2 linked regions of the Stegostoma tigrinum genome follow. The protein of the gene in region 1 purifies or fractionates together with the protein of each later gene. This does not show direct contact. Links are inferred from orthologs where the notes say so. Each region holds a gene or a part of one and is shown in the gene's direction. Other genes may lie near its edges.

Evidence for each region.
Region 2: the proteins of map3k2 (region 1) and traf7 purify together in Homo sapiens (affinity purification with mass spectrometry; 3 studies listed by BioGRID and IntAct, with this or other methods). This does not show direct contact. The link is inferred for Stegostoma tigrinum from reciprocal best matches to the Homo sapiens genes MAP3K2 and TRAF7.

Annotation. Positions count from the first base shown.
Region 1 is NC_081360.1:103,957,719-103,965,136, reverse strand, and holds the start of map3k2 (mitogen-activated protein kinase kinase kinase 2), read left to right. Parts: upstream 1-4,127; 5' UTR 4,128-4,330; intron 4,331-7,418. UniProt on the Homo sapiens protein: Component of a protein kinase signal transduction cascade. Regulates the JNK and ERK5 pathways by phosphorylating and activating MAP2K5 and MAP2K7. Plays a role in caveolae kiss-and-run dynamics.
Region 2 is NC_081376.1:38,848,588-38,855,832, forward strand, and holds the start of traf7 (E3 ubiquitin-protein ligase TRAF7), read left to right. Parts: upstream 1-3,911; 5' UTR 3,912-4,003; exon of another isoform or gene 4,004-4,027; intron 4,028-7,245. UniProt on the Homo sapiens protein: E3 ubiquitin and SUMO-protein ligase that plays a role in different biological processes such as innate immunity, inflammation or apoptosis. Potentiates MAP3K3-mediated activation of JUN/AP1 and DDIT3 transcriptional regulators.

The DNA of each region.
Region 1 (7,418 bases):
CGTGATCTTGTTACTGTTTAGTTTTTGTGCACAAATCCATTCCATGTCCTGTGTCACGGTAATTCCTTCAAAAAACCCTTCATTGGGTACAGTGCATTCAATGACATCCTTGGACATGAAATGCATTTTACATATGCAAACTCCTCTTTCATGCAGTAGGGGTCAAAATTGTAAAAAGTGATGATGTGGAGGTGCCAGTGTTGGACTGGGGTGGACAAGATCAGAAATCACACAACACCAGGTTGTCATCCAACAGGTTTATTTGAAAACACAAGCTTCTGGAGCCTCAGATAATAAAATGTGAGGCTGGATAAACACAGCAGGCCCAGCAGCATCTCAGGAGCACAAAAGCTGACGTTTCGGGTCTAGATCCAAGGGTCTAGGCCCGAAATGTCAGCTTTTGTGCTCCTGAGATGCTGCTGGGCCTGCTGTGTTCATCCAGCCTCATATTTTATTATCTTGGATTCTCCAGCATCTGCAGTTCCCATTATCTCTTCTGGAGCCTCAGTCCTTCTTCAGATGTTAGTGCACATTCAAAGGGCACTGGGAACTGGATTTGCTTCTCTCAGGCACACATACTTGACACCTTCACAACACCCCTGCTGTTAGTTCAGCAACTTCCACCACAGAGCCTACTACCACTTAGCAGATAACTAGTTCATTATCACAGGGTTGTTTGCGGCAGGGTGCTGAGATCAAACTGGTTGCTGCACCTCCCAGATTGCAACTGCATTTCTAAACATTAATTTCTAGTTATCTGTAGCTAATCTTGAATGAAATTAATGTACGTTTTAAAGCAAATACCAAGGACATCCAAGAAAAATATGATCTTTTAAAAACTGTCCCTTGGTAGAATAGAACATGAATATTCTGTAGACAGTGGCATTTTGCTTCAGCTTTTCGCCTGTACTGATAAAGAGTGTCAAATTTGAAATGAGCTGAACAATTTACATTAAGAGAGAAAGTATGCTGATTATTAGGGTCAAGATACAGACACAGAATCAAATCAGCCTTTCTACCTCTGTATTTGCAACACAGTAAAATTAAACCATCAGAGGTGCCCAATAGTTACTCCAATGGTTCCTAACCAGACAATTCAATAATCAATCCCAGACTTTGTCAATAATTAATTTCAGACACTGTTTTTGCATCACAAACAAGAAATTTAACCCTTAGTACATACACAATAGCTACAACAGAAAAAAATACTTAAACAACAACATAATCAGATTAATATCTATGCTTTAAACCCGAAACATTTGTTATCATTTACACAGAAGACAGACATACAAAAAAACACAATTAAAGGATTTTGAAAGAAAATAATGGAACTGGCCAGATTAGTTAAACAGCTTTCACAATGTGTTATACTGTCAGAGAGATGTACAACATGGAAATAAGACACTTTGGAACAACTCATCCATGCTGACCAAATTAATCTAGTCCCATTTACCAGCAAGTTGTCCATATCCCTCCAAACCCTTCCTATTCATTTACACATCCAGAGGCTTTTCACAAGTTGTAATTGTACCACACTCCACCACTTCCTCTGGCAGCCCATTCCATTCACGCACCACCCTCCGCACAGAAGTTATCCCTTACGTCCTTTTTCAATCTTTCCCATCTCACCTTAAACATATGTACTCAAAGATTTGGATTTACCCATCCCAGGGGAAAAACATCAGCTATTCATCCTCCATGCCCCTCATGATTTTATAAATCCCTGTAGGTCAGCCCTCAGCCTCCGACAGTTTCACAGGCATAGATGTGGAGAGCTTGGTTGCTTTTCAGGAATAATCAATCAGGGTCACCTTCTCAGCTCATTCAGGAAAAGGTGGTAATGCTTCTAATACATCTTTCTAATCTCTGGGCTTCCAAAAGCTGGTCTGGGAGATTAGGCAGGGTCTTTACAATTTGACATGCTGCTTCATACTAGCCAAGCTCATTTCCTTCAGATAACACAATTCAAAAACAACTCCAACTCCAGTTCCTCCCTAACAGGGGGAATCTATAAGCTTGAAGCTGAAAAAACACAGCAGGTCAGACAGCATCAAAGGAGCAGGAAAGTCAATATATCAAGGTTAAACTGTTTGTCAGGACCTGACGAAAAGTTTCGACCCAAAACATTGATTTTCTGGCTCCTCTGATGCTGTCTGTCCTGCTGTGTTTCTCCAGCCTCACAGCTTTGGACTCTGTAGTCTTTATCGTTTCCTCCCCAATAGACTGTCCGTTCCCAAGGCCTCAATTACATTTCAACATCTGCCATCTGTTTGGACATCGAGTCTCTTCCAGACCTGCTGGAACCAACTCCCAGGTACAAACCTCATTAATAGCCAACTTCAGCTATCTGTTTACATACAATCAGAGATTATGGGAACTGCAGATGCTGGAGAATCCGAGATAATAAAATGTGAGGCTGATGAACACAGCAGGCCAAGCAGCATCTCAGGAGCACAAAAGCTGACGTTTCGGGCCTAGACCCTTCATCAGACCCTCTGAAGGGTCTAGGCCCGAAACGTCAGCTTTTGTGCTCCTGAGATGCTGCTTGGCCTGCTGTGTTCATCCAGCCTCACATTTTATTATCTTGTTTACATACAATTCCTGGATTGCAATGGTTGTAGGAACCCTTTTGGTCAAGAATCAGCTTGTGATCTTCCAGACCTGGCCTGATGAATAAACAAAGGCTTGTTTGATCTGTCCTTTTCCTTCTATCACAAGCTGTTTCACAACATTCACAAGTCATCTTCAGCTCAAGATCAAAACTGATAAAAGAATAAGAAAAATGAAAAAAATCAGCAAGGGTTCCAACAGTAGACAGTTTGACACTGACGGATTGAGGCCTTGCCATGAAGAAAGCACACAAGTTCCCAGGTAATGCAAACAAAAGAAGAATGCAAATCTTAAACATATCCCTTGTGTTTGCAGAGGGTGGGGCTCCACTTTGTGAAGATGAACATTTTTAAAGCTTCAGCAGCTTATTTTCTCATGCAAACTTCTTTGAGACAAACATGAAATTAGAAAGCTTGCAACTGAATACACAAAGGAGAGAAGCAATAAAATACAGGGACTATAGCAGACAGTCATGCCAAGATAGTATCAGAGATAATGGGAACTGCAGATGCTGGAGAATTCCAAGATAATAAAATGTGAGGCTGGATGAACACAGCAGGCCAAGCAGCATCTCAGGAGCACAAAAGCTGACGTTTCAGGCCTAGACCCTTCATCAGAGAGGGGGATGGGGGGAGGGAACTGGAATAAATAGGGAGAGAGGGGGAGGCGGACCGAAGATGGAGAGTAAAGAAGATAGGTGGAGAGAGTGTAGGTGGGGAGGTAGGGAGGGGATAGGTCAGTCCAGGGAAGACGGACAGGTCAAGGAGGTGGGATGAGGTTAGTAGGTAGATGGGTGTGCGGCTTGGGGTGGGAGGAAGGGATGGGTGAGCGGAAGAACCGGTTAGGGAGGCAGAGACAGGTTGGACTGGTTTTGGGATGCAGTGGGTGGGGGGGAAGAGCTGGGCTGGTTGTGTGGTGCAGTGGGGGGAGGGGATGAACTGGGCTGGTTTAGGGATGCAGTAGGGGAAGGGGAGATTTTGAAACTGGTGAAGTTCCACATTGATACCATATGGCTGCAGGGTTCCCAGGCGGAATATGAGTTGCTGTTCCTGCAACCTTCGGGTGGCATCATTGTGGCAGTGCAGGAGGCCCATGATGGACATGTCATCAAGAGAATGGGAGGGGGAGTGGAAATGGTTTGCGACTGGGAGGTGCAGTTGTTTGTTGCGAACTGAGCGGAGGTGTTCTGCAAAGCGGTCCTTTCCTGAGCCCCAAAAGGCAATGCCCAGGAAAAAGATGAACACCACAGCACAAATCAACGTCTAACAAGACATGAGGCAGCCACTGTCTTCATCTATTGTTTCAATGAGATCTAGTTCAGTTCTGTTTAATTCATTGGGGTTAATCCCTGGGTTTCAATAGATTTTCACACCTTCTGGCCCACAGAACCACAAATGCGCAGGCGCAGGCCACTGTTGGCACGCAGGTGCACCGGCCGGGCCCGGCTTCCACGCAGGCGCACTGATGGGACTCAGGTTCGGCGCAGGCGCAGTGGCTGTGCCCCGCTGTGACGCAAGCGCACTCTGCCAGATTCGGGCGCCCCGCGAAGGGAAATTTTTCGTCGGCGCAAAAAAAGGGGAGTTTTTATTTTCCTCCCGGTGCCGGACGTTCCTCCCGGGAGGCAGCGGCGGCAGGAGTAGGAGGACGGAGAGCGGGGGCCAGGCCCGGAATTGACCCGGGAGAGATTCCGCCGCCTGCGGCCTGGATGCTCAGCACTCGGGTAAGAGCAGCGGGGCCTCAGGGTTGAGGAAAGGTTTAAGGCCTTCGGCGAGGGGAAGTGGGGGAATGTGGTGGGGTTGGGGAAGCTCGGAGCCTCGGTAACGGAACGGCGAAGGCGGTGGTCTGTTCTGAAAATAGCCCCCCCCCCCCCCCCCCACCACGATCCCCAACGATTGCGACCTGTGGCCTACCCCCGAGCTTAGTCCTGTTTCTGAGCCTCTCTGGACTCGCTGGGGCAGAACTGTCAGGAACTTGCTGCAGAAACAAAGACAGAACTCTGACCGGCCCCAGGAAACAGCAATGGAGACTTTGCTCCTCCAGCCAGGGCTATAGAACAACATTGTCACTCGATTAAAACACTGGGGCTCAGCGCCGGTAGGGACAGGCCTGTCACTGTATAACACTGGGGTACAGTACCGGTGGGGGACAGGTCTGTCACTGTATAGCACTGGGGCTCAGCGCCGGTGGGGACAGGTCTGTCACTGTATAACACTGGGGTACAGTACCGGTGGGGACAGGTCTGTCTCTGTATAACACTGGGGTACAGCGCCGGTGGGGACAGGTCTGTCACTGTATAACACTGGGGTACAGTACTGGTGGGGACAGGTCTGTCACTGCATAACACTGGGGTACAGTACCGGTGGGGACAGGTCTGTCACTGCATAACACTGGGGTACAGTACCGGTGGGGACAGGTCTGTCACTGAGTAACACTGAGGTACAGTGCCGGTGGGGACAGGTCTGTCACTGTATAACACTGGGGTACAGTACTGGTGGGGACAGGTCTGTCACTGCATAACACTGGGGTACAGTACCGGTGGGGACAGGTCTGTCACTGAGTAACACTGAGGTACAGTACTGGTGGGGACAGGTTTGTCACTGCATAACACTGTGGTACAGTACCGGTGGGGACAGGTCTGTCGCTCTATAACACTGGGGTACATTACCGGTGGGGGACAGGTCTGTCACTGTATAACACTGGGGTACAGTACTGGTGGGGACAGGTCTGTCACTGCATAACACTGGGGTACAGTACCGGTGGGGACAGGTCTGTCACTGCATAACACTGGGGTACAGTACCGGTGGGGACAGGTCTGTCACTGAGTAACACTGAGGTACAGTGCCGGTGGGGACAGGTCTGTCACTGTATAACACTGGGGTACAGTACTGGTGGGGACAGGTCTGTCACTGCATAACACTGGGGTACAGTACCGGTGGGGACAGGTCTGTCACTGAGTAACACTGAGGTACAGTACTGGTGGGGACAGGTTTGTCACTGCATAACACTGTGGTACAGTACCGGTGGGGACAGGTCTGTCGCTCTATAACACTGGGGTACATTACCGGTGGGGACAGGTCTGTCGCTGTATAACACTGGGGTACAGTACCGGTGGGGACAGGTCTGTCGCTCTATAACACTGGGGTACAGCGCCGGTGGGGACGGGTCTGCCGCTGTCTGCCACCGGGGCTCATCGCCGGTGGGGACAGGTCTGTTGCTGTCTAACGCTGGGGCTCAGCGCCGGTGGGGACAGGTCTGCCGCTGTTTAATGATTTAGATTTATTGTCTCATTTTTCACATGTTACATGGAAAGTTTTGCTGTGCTCCAGCATCATCTTGTAACACTGAAAATAATGCAAAGGTTTTACTACAATAGGGCTGATCTCTCTTTCTTCCTGCTTCCCCTCTGCTGCTACTCTGGTTGCTGCTTTACATTGGTCTGAGTCCCTGAAATGGGTTCCTGTGTATCTGTAATGGGCTGTAGGATCTCAGTTGCCTCCATGACTGCTGTATCCAAGTTGTTGCCATGGGCTTAGTGATGTGTGGGTTCTATACCTCCTGTTCCCTATCTGACACTTCTCTAGTCATTGCTGCCAGTCCACTGTCTGTCCCTTTTGTCAATGCTGCCTCTCCTTTGGGTATCCAGACCTAGCTGTGTGCTGGGGTACAGTGGTGGGGAACAGGTTTGTTGCTTTATAATACTGGTGCACAGTATTCGTGGGGCCAGGTCTGTTGCTGTATAACGTGGGTATATTACCAGACAAGACATGTCAGTCCTTGTATAACACTGGTTTACATTATTGATGACAGGTCTGACTTTGTGTAACACTGGGATGTTATAATTTTAACTTATCCAGGAGTGAGGGCCTTTATTTCAAAGGGAATGGAGTATAAAATTAGGGAGGTTTTGCTAAAACTTGAGTCATTGTCAAACCACAGCTGGAGTACTCTGAACAGTTATGGGCCCCTTATCTGAGGAATGATCTACTGGGAATGGAGACAATCTAGAGATGGTTCACTGGATTGATATTAGTTATAGGAACTATCTTATGAAGAAAATTTGAGTAGATTGTGCCTGTACTCATTGGAATTTAGAAGAGTAAGAAGAGACCTTATTGAAACATAGAAGATTCTCAGGAGACTTGACAGGATGGATCCTGTCGAGGAAGATTTTAGGACCAGAGGGCATAATCTCAGAATTGGGGGTTGCACGTATTTCATTGTTCTTTTCAGCGGCACATTTCTGGTCAGACTTTTCTAATCTTGGGTCTGATTCTTTGCTAGTTCTCTTCAATCCCTCCTCTCTGATTAGTCACTCTCCTACATGACAATAGTTGCTTAGTGTCTGCACCATCAAAGCTGCATTACATTACAAGACACCAGGTTATAGTCCGACAGGTTTATTTGAAATCTCAAACTCTCGGAACGCAGCCCCTTCATTAGTTGCAGTGAGAGGAGAGCACATAGACCCCAAGTTAATAGGCAGAGAGATCAAAGGATCATACAACTGGTGTGAGTGAAGTGAACAAACCTAGAATGGCTGGCTGACTGCCTCCTGTTGAATCTTTAATCTTTCATACATTCCTGCATTCTGGAAATTGCAGAAGCAGGGTATGAAGAAAGGAGGTGCAAGTTTTGATTGATTTAAGATGCAAATTCCAGAATCTGTTTCAAGCCACTGCCCCCAGAAAATTAAAGGTTTCATCAGTGTCTGCCTAACTTTCCAATCTTCAAACGGGCAGACTGATAGGAATATACAAAAGGTGACATCTGAGGTTAGACACTTAATTCTAGGTGTGAAGCCTTGTCCA
Region 2 (7,245 bases), on another chromosome or scaffold:
CATAAATTACTTCTACAAAAAAAGCAGTCTTGTAAACCGTGTTAATGTCTACTAACATTTTCTACACAGGCTACTTTACCTGTGAGCCATACAAGACAGCAAGGACCCATTAGTGATCTGGACCCTGAAATTGCCTCAAGTTCAATTACCTGTCTGCCTTTACAAAGTGTGGTGAAGCTGATGTCGCACCAGGGTGGACACAGTCCAAGGTCACATGACCAGGTTATAGTCCAAGCATAGATGGTGTTATCTGACTTCTGGCTTTTCAAAAGCCCATCCAATCTGCAGTGGTGTCCCCTTTGTATTTTCAAGAATATTGAAAACACAAAAAGTTAATTAAAATTAATCTCAAATAATCATGCATTACTTTAACATAACACCAGATGTCAGAAAGATGCATTTCATACTGAGCATTTGCAAAGTTCTTGAAATTCACTATTTTAAAGTTTGCTTAGTACTTCACACTGGCACTCCGAGCAATGTATTCAGCCATATTAGATTAACTAGAACAAGGGTGCAGTTATCCATTAATTTTTACCTGCTTACTCACACTGTTCTAAGTTTCATGAGACACTGCCAGGAATCCAAGCATTTTTAGTTTGAAGTTATACAAGACTAAGCTAACATTAAACTATTCATTTCAACCGTCTTTCTAATTAAGCCTCAGCCACAAAAATAATAATCAAGCATTGCTTTGATGCAACACTTTCAGTGGAGATGTCAGAAATAAAGAAAGGCTCATCACAGGCTTAGTGGTCATATTTAAACAGCCACAGGCTAAAAATCAATCTTGGCCAATACTTCAACTTGTTCAGAACAAAACATTGCCCACAAACAGTATACAAAAAATAAAATTTACTGTTTTAACAAAGCTATTTTATTGGAAAGAGCAGCAATCCACTAAATCAATTCATACAAGGCAGTGCCTTCTGCCCCACAAGAGGAGTTTTAAGTTAAGCATCTTCTCCAGATGAACTTAACACAGCACCAGTTTACAGGCAGTGTGCTTCCAGGATGAGAGTTTGCTCACTGAGCTGGAAAGTTAGTTTTCAGATGTTTCGTCACTATTCTAGGTAACATCAGTGAGCTTTGTCGGAGGCTCACTGATGTTACCTAGAATGGTGACGAAACGTCTGAAAACTAACCTTCCAGCTCAGCAAGCAAATTCACATTCAGAACCTCAACCTGAGCTACAAATCTTCTCAAAACTCTGCTTCCAATCCATATATACAAGATAGAAAAGCATTAGGTCAATTTTCAGACTCCAGGAAATAACAGCTCTAAGCTAGTGAAGAGTAGTGTCTTAGCAACAGCTTTTAACTTTTCTGGGACAGAAATACCTACATTTCAGATCCCTCTGCTCAACCTCCTACCCCAACAGGATTAAATCCAGCAATATAACTCACCTTCAACATTACATCAGTTTTAACAGAAATGCTGCATGCGTAACAATTCAGTTGATGCATTCCCCCAGTCAGAAAACTGCATACCTAGTGATCATGTAAAATATAAAAAAGTTACACTGCAGTAATGTTGGTGTCATGCACAATTGTTTTCCAAACAATGCTCAATTACAGCACAGTAATAGGCAATGCAGCCCACCAGCTGTTACTATTTCAGCCCTCATGTAGCACTAAATTGACAACTCAAATTTGGGAGAATCAAGAACTGCAGATATATACCTCCCACCCTTTAAAATGAAGGCTCAAATCCAACGGTAATCAAGCATAGTAAATAAGAGTGGTGCATTTCATTAAAGGGTTGACAGACTCAACTGTCTAAGTGCTGCCAGATATGCTGAACTTACCCTGCACGCTGCTCCAAATATCCAACATACAGTTCTTTGATAGTGAAACAAATCAATCCTTGCTCATGCACTTAAGGAATGGATCTGATATCCACCTCAACCACTCACTGCCATAAATTCAGCCTCATGCACCCAAAATGTACAAGCTACTTAATTGCTGCTTATTGTTATTTTATTCTGAAAGTGAGCTCCTGCACTTCCAAAGTTAGCTTTGAAAACTTTTGAACTCTAAAATGTATAGTCACACCTGCCAAATTGATTACATTATTCCCAATGGGGGACCAAGTTGGTAATTTGTTAACTGAAAATACAATGCAAAGTGAAGCAAAATAAACCAAATTTACATTACTGAATTAGAAACATGCACCAGACCCATGCAGAGTGGAATTGTTAACATACAAGGCAATTTCTACAAAGAAACTGTAGACCATCTAGCATTGCCAGAAAATACTGCACCACACAGTCCCTAGTGATCTCTTATCTGGATGTTTAGTGACCTTGTCAGAGTGTGGAGCTGATGAACACAGCAGGCCAAGCAGCATCTTAGGAGCACAAAAGCTGACGTTTTGGACCTAGACCCTTTATCAGAAAAAGCTTTTTTCTCCAGCATCTGCAGTTCCCATTATTTGTCACTAATTGCACAACCTGATTTCAACCAAGCATGGACAACAGAACCAAAGGGGAGACAATAGAGAATTCCCAATGCCACCTTGACTGACTGCAGCATTTATACACAGCAGGCAAAAAATTGAGGGATACAGACTAGCTTCAGGGAGACACGATTAATTTAGAACAGCACCAGGGTTGGTTGAAGAACCTAATTTTCTATGTAGAAAATTCAAAATCAGGAGCAGGCTAAATACAGCGGGTAGGGATAAGTGTTCTGGCTTGTAAACGTGGACAATAAAGTGCTAGCAGATTTACAGTGACCTGAAAAAAGCAGCAAGGAAGATAGAAGTGAACGACCCCTAGGTCAGACATGAGGAAAATCGTGACTCAGGAAGTAGTCGATGCATGAACTGTGCAGCCTGGAGTACGCTAAGGTGGCGGTCACTGGAGACATTCGATACGGGCGTGGGCGACTATTTAAATACAACTAAGACGCGAGAGAGGTTAAAATTGTATCAGTGATAATAGGAACTGCAGATGCTCCAAGATAATAAAATGAGAGGCTGGATGAACACAGCAGGCCCAGCAGCATCTCAGGAGCACAGACCATCTGGCATTGTGCCAGAAAATACTGCACCACACAGTCCCTAATGATCTCTTATCTGCATGTTTAGTGACCTTGTCAGAGTGTGCTCCTGCTGCCTCACATTTTATTATTTAAGAGGCGAGAGAGTGTCTGGGTTACAAACACCGAGGCAAAAAGCGGCTAGTTTGAAGAGCTTAGCAGGCTCCTCTAAAAGACTTCCGGGGTCAGCCCCTTGAGGGGCCGCCAACAAAAGCTGCTTAACAAACGATTGCCCTTTACGATATGGGGCCGACCACCCCATAGCCACTCACAAAGCGCTGAATAAAAGTGAATGCTTCAGATGGAGAGACTACAAATGGACAGCGAGTTGAGGGGTGTGTGAAGGAAACGTTATGAAAGGCCGAATGGAAGATACCGGACACTAACACGTGCTCCCTGCCCCATTTTAAGCACTGCTTTTAAGAAACTGAATTGGTTAAATGCGTGTTGGCTCATTCCCCCGCGAATAATCGACGCTAAAGATTTGTCTGCACCGATTATAAAGGCCAATAATTTATCATTAAGAAAAACCAACCTCCACCAAGACAACGTCCCCACAGAAAGAGGACGAGCCAGCCGCGCGCTCGAAAATATAGAGGGCCCGACTGTCAATCATCCGCAGACCCTGCTGTCTATTGGCCCTACGTTTTAATTGGCGTCTGTTGTAACCAATAGTATCCAGGACTTCGGAATAGTCTGACGGCATGTTACCCAATCCCTGCACGCGGAGGCGGAGCCCGGTCTCGTGGGACGGCGTCCATCGTCTCGCCGCACTGTCTGCAGGGTAATGTAGTCCGGGCGTTCGTCCATCCCTGTAAGGAGCTGTCTCTGCAAACTACAACACCCGGCGTGCTCGGCTGATGCCGCGCATGCGCGATCTCGGGGTCGTCAGTTACTTCCTTGAAATTTCGGTCAGTTGTTAGACGATGGTGTTTGAACATGTCAATCGAAACGGTTTGCGGGTAAGGACCTAAGTTTGGGTGCAGGTAGTTTCTTTTTCCTTTTTCGTTCTGCGTGTGCGGGAGTACTTTTCACACTGTTTATGCAAATAATTGGAGTTACATGTCTGGAAAATAGACCCAGATCTTGGGGGAGGATCTGTCAACACAATCCTCCCGAGAAGTGATTTGTAGAGGAGGAGGGGAGACATGGTCTAGACTGTCCAAGGTCTCTTGATTGATGCCGTTGTCTGCTCCCCTCCCCCCTGATCTCGTCAGTCGGGGGCGAAATTCTGGGCCGTCCACCACCACCATCACCTCTCTGGGTCCTGCCGCCCGCCTCAACACACTCTCCCTTCTTTTGTCAATCGTCAGGGTGCTGATAGCGTGCCAGGCGCCTGGAGTACGTGCCTGAGACACAGAAAAAAAACAGATACCTGTTTGCGCTTGCCGATCAAATATTTGTAACACAGCCGTATGGATTTCATCCCCCCTCACCGCCACAGACGCACACGCACTTTTGCAAGAGGCCTCTGTGACTGGCTCAGTGGTCAGCGCTGCTGTCTCACAGCTCAGGGACTCGTGTTCGATTCCAGCCTCGGGTGACTGTCTGCGTGGACATTCTCCCCAGCGTCTACTCGGGTTTCCTCTGGGTGCTCCAGTTTCTCCCATGGTCCAAAGATGTGCAGTTTAGGTGGATTGGCCATGCTAAATTGTCCATAGTACAGGGGGATGTGTATGTTGGGTGGATTAGCAGTGGTTATAGGATAGGGGTCGAGGTGGGATGCTGTTCAGTGTGGATTCAATGGACCGAAATGGTAGGGATTCTATGAACTGTTTTCTCTTCCCAAGTGGAATTTATGCTCAGGCATCTACCCCTAATCCTAATTCATCTTGCATGTGCAGTACTTTGGAACTTTTCTTCACATTATTAAAGATCATTCAGATGATGCAATTTATGAGATCTACAATACCTGCTTTTGGAGAAGGTGCACTGTGCATGTCTGATGTCCAAACTGTGCATTAACTAGGGAGTTTTCCATTTATTGTATAAAACTTGCTACTCTGGGTAAAAAAAAAGTGAGTGGTGCATGATTTTATATCTTCTAAAATAGCCATATTTGCAAGTTACCACAACAAAAACTAACAAAGCCTAAGGCATTGCTATACTGAGTATACTTCAGAAGTACTTTGTTGGGCGTGAAGTGCTTGTGAACCTCCAGAGCTCATGAAAGGTGCTACATAATGTAAATCTTTCTTTTCATAAAAGTTCTCCACCGGGGGAAGATACTGGTTAATTTTCAGGAATTATCCTCTGGAAGGTAACTGATGAGAGCTTCAATAACTTAAGTATTCTTAATCAGCCGCCTGATCCCGCAATCCCATTCATTGTGCTGCTTGGATTATACCCTCCACAAGTTACCCTGGGTATAGCAGTTAGGAGGTCATGTTGCAACTTCACAGGACATTAGTTAGGCCACTTTCGGAATAATGCATTCAGTTCTGGCCTCCCTACTATAACAAAGATGCTGTGATTGAATGGCTTTACAAAAGGATGTTGCCAGGGTTGGAAGGTTTGAGCTATATGCAGATGCCGAATAGGCTGGGGCTATTTTCCCTGGAGGCTGAGGGGTGACCGTATAGAGGCTTACAAAATCATGGTGGGTATGGATAGGGTGAACAGCCAAGGTCTTTTCTTCCCAGGGTAGGGGAGTCCAAAAATACAGGGCATAGGTTTAGGGTGAGAGGGGAATGATTTGAAAGGAACCTAAGGGGCAACTTTTTCACACAGAGGGTGGTGCATGTATGGAATGAGCTGGCGGAGGAAGTGGTGGACGCTGGTACAATTAAAACATTTAAAAAAGGCATCTATATGAATAGGATGGGTTTATAGGGATATGGGCCAAATGCTAGTAAGTGGGACCAGATTATTTTAGGCTACATGATTGGTGTGGACAAGTTGGACAGAAGGGTCTGTTTCCATGCTGTACATCTCAATGACTGTATGACAAGCTCTGCTGGTTAGTTGGCCACTGTAAATGAGGAATACTGAGATGAGTGCCAGAATTTGGACAGTAAATTTGCCCTTAAAATTACTACATATGGTGGTATAATTGATAATATTATCCAATTCCTTTACAAATAATTGAAAGTTAATTAGTCTGCAAATACAGTATATGAATTTATAGGAAGAAATGTGCTTCTAAAATTTTTTAAAACTTTTTAAAGTGACCACTTAATTATTGCAGTTTCTCTTAATAAAAACAGAAAATGCTGGACAAACTCAGCAGACCTGGCAACATATGCGGACAGAGAAATTGAGCTCGAGGTCTGGCAGCATCTGTGAAGAAAAAAATCAGAGTTAATGTTTCAGGTCTAGTTCTGAGGAAAGGTCACCAGTGGGAAAAAAATCAGAGTTAACAGCATTTCGGGTCCGGTGACCCTCAGAACCAAACCAGCAACATTAACTCTGATGTTTTCATCACAGATGCTGCCGTTCCTGCTGAGCTTTTCCAGCAACTTCTGTTTTTGTTCCTGATTTACAGCATCTGCAGTTCTTTTGGTTTTTTTAAACAGAGAAATTGAGTTAATGGCTCGATTTAACTGTTTTTCTCTCCTCAGCTGCTGCTAGAACTGAGCTTCCATTGCCCTTTCTGTTATTTCAGATTGTCTGCATCTTAAGTATTTTGCTTTTAGTTAGTCTTAATATCTGCATTACAGTGTTAAATCTTCATTGTGAAATGGTGGTAGTCTCTAGGACCTAATTTTTTACTGTGCCATTTATATGCAATTTATTATCATAAATGCTGTTGGCTGAATTGCTAATTCAGTCAAATATTATACTATTATATAATAGTCCTTGGTATATTTAGACTTTCTATCATTTCTTATTATCTCCCTGTCAAAAATGTTAATAAAGTACGCAAGTAAGAGTGACCTCCTAGCTATTGCCATGACATAATTAGTATATTTAATAGTCATAGCTGCCTGTCTTTTATCCATTTTACAGCTTATTCTTTAGCTCTTTTACCTGTAATTCCTTCATAAATTCTTGGTCAAATGCTTTCCAAAAATCTGGATCTGTAATTTGCTGTAAAATGTTTTGTCTACACATTCTTCTTTCACTTAAAATGTTTTAATTTTTTCTTCCTAGCACATTACAGGTGGTTTGGTGGCTTGGTGGCATTACAGTGCCTGGGACCTGGGTTTGATTCCAGTCGTGGGTGACTGTCTATGTGGAGTTTATACATTTGCCCTTTGTTGCT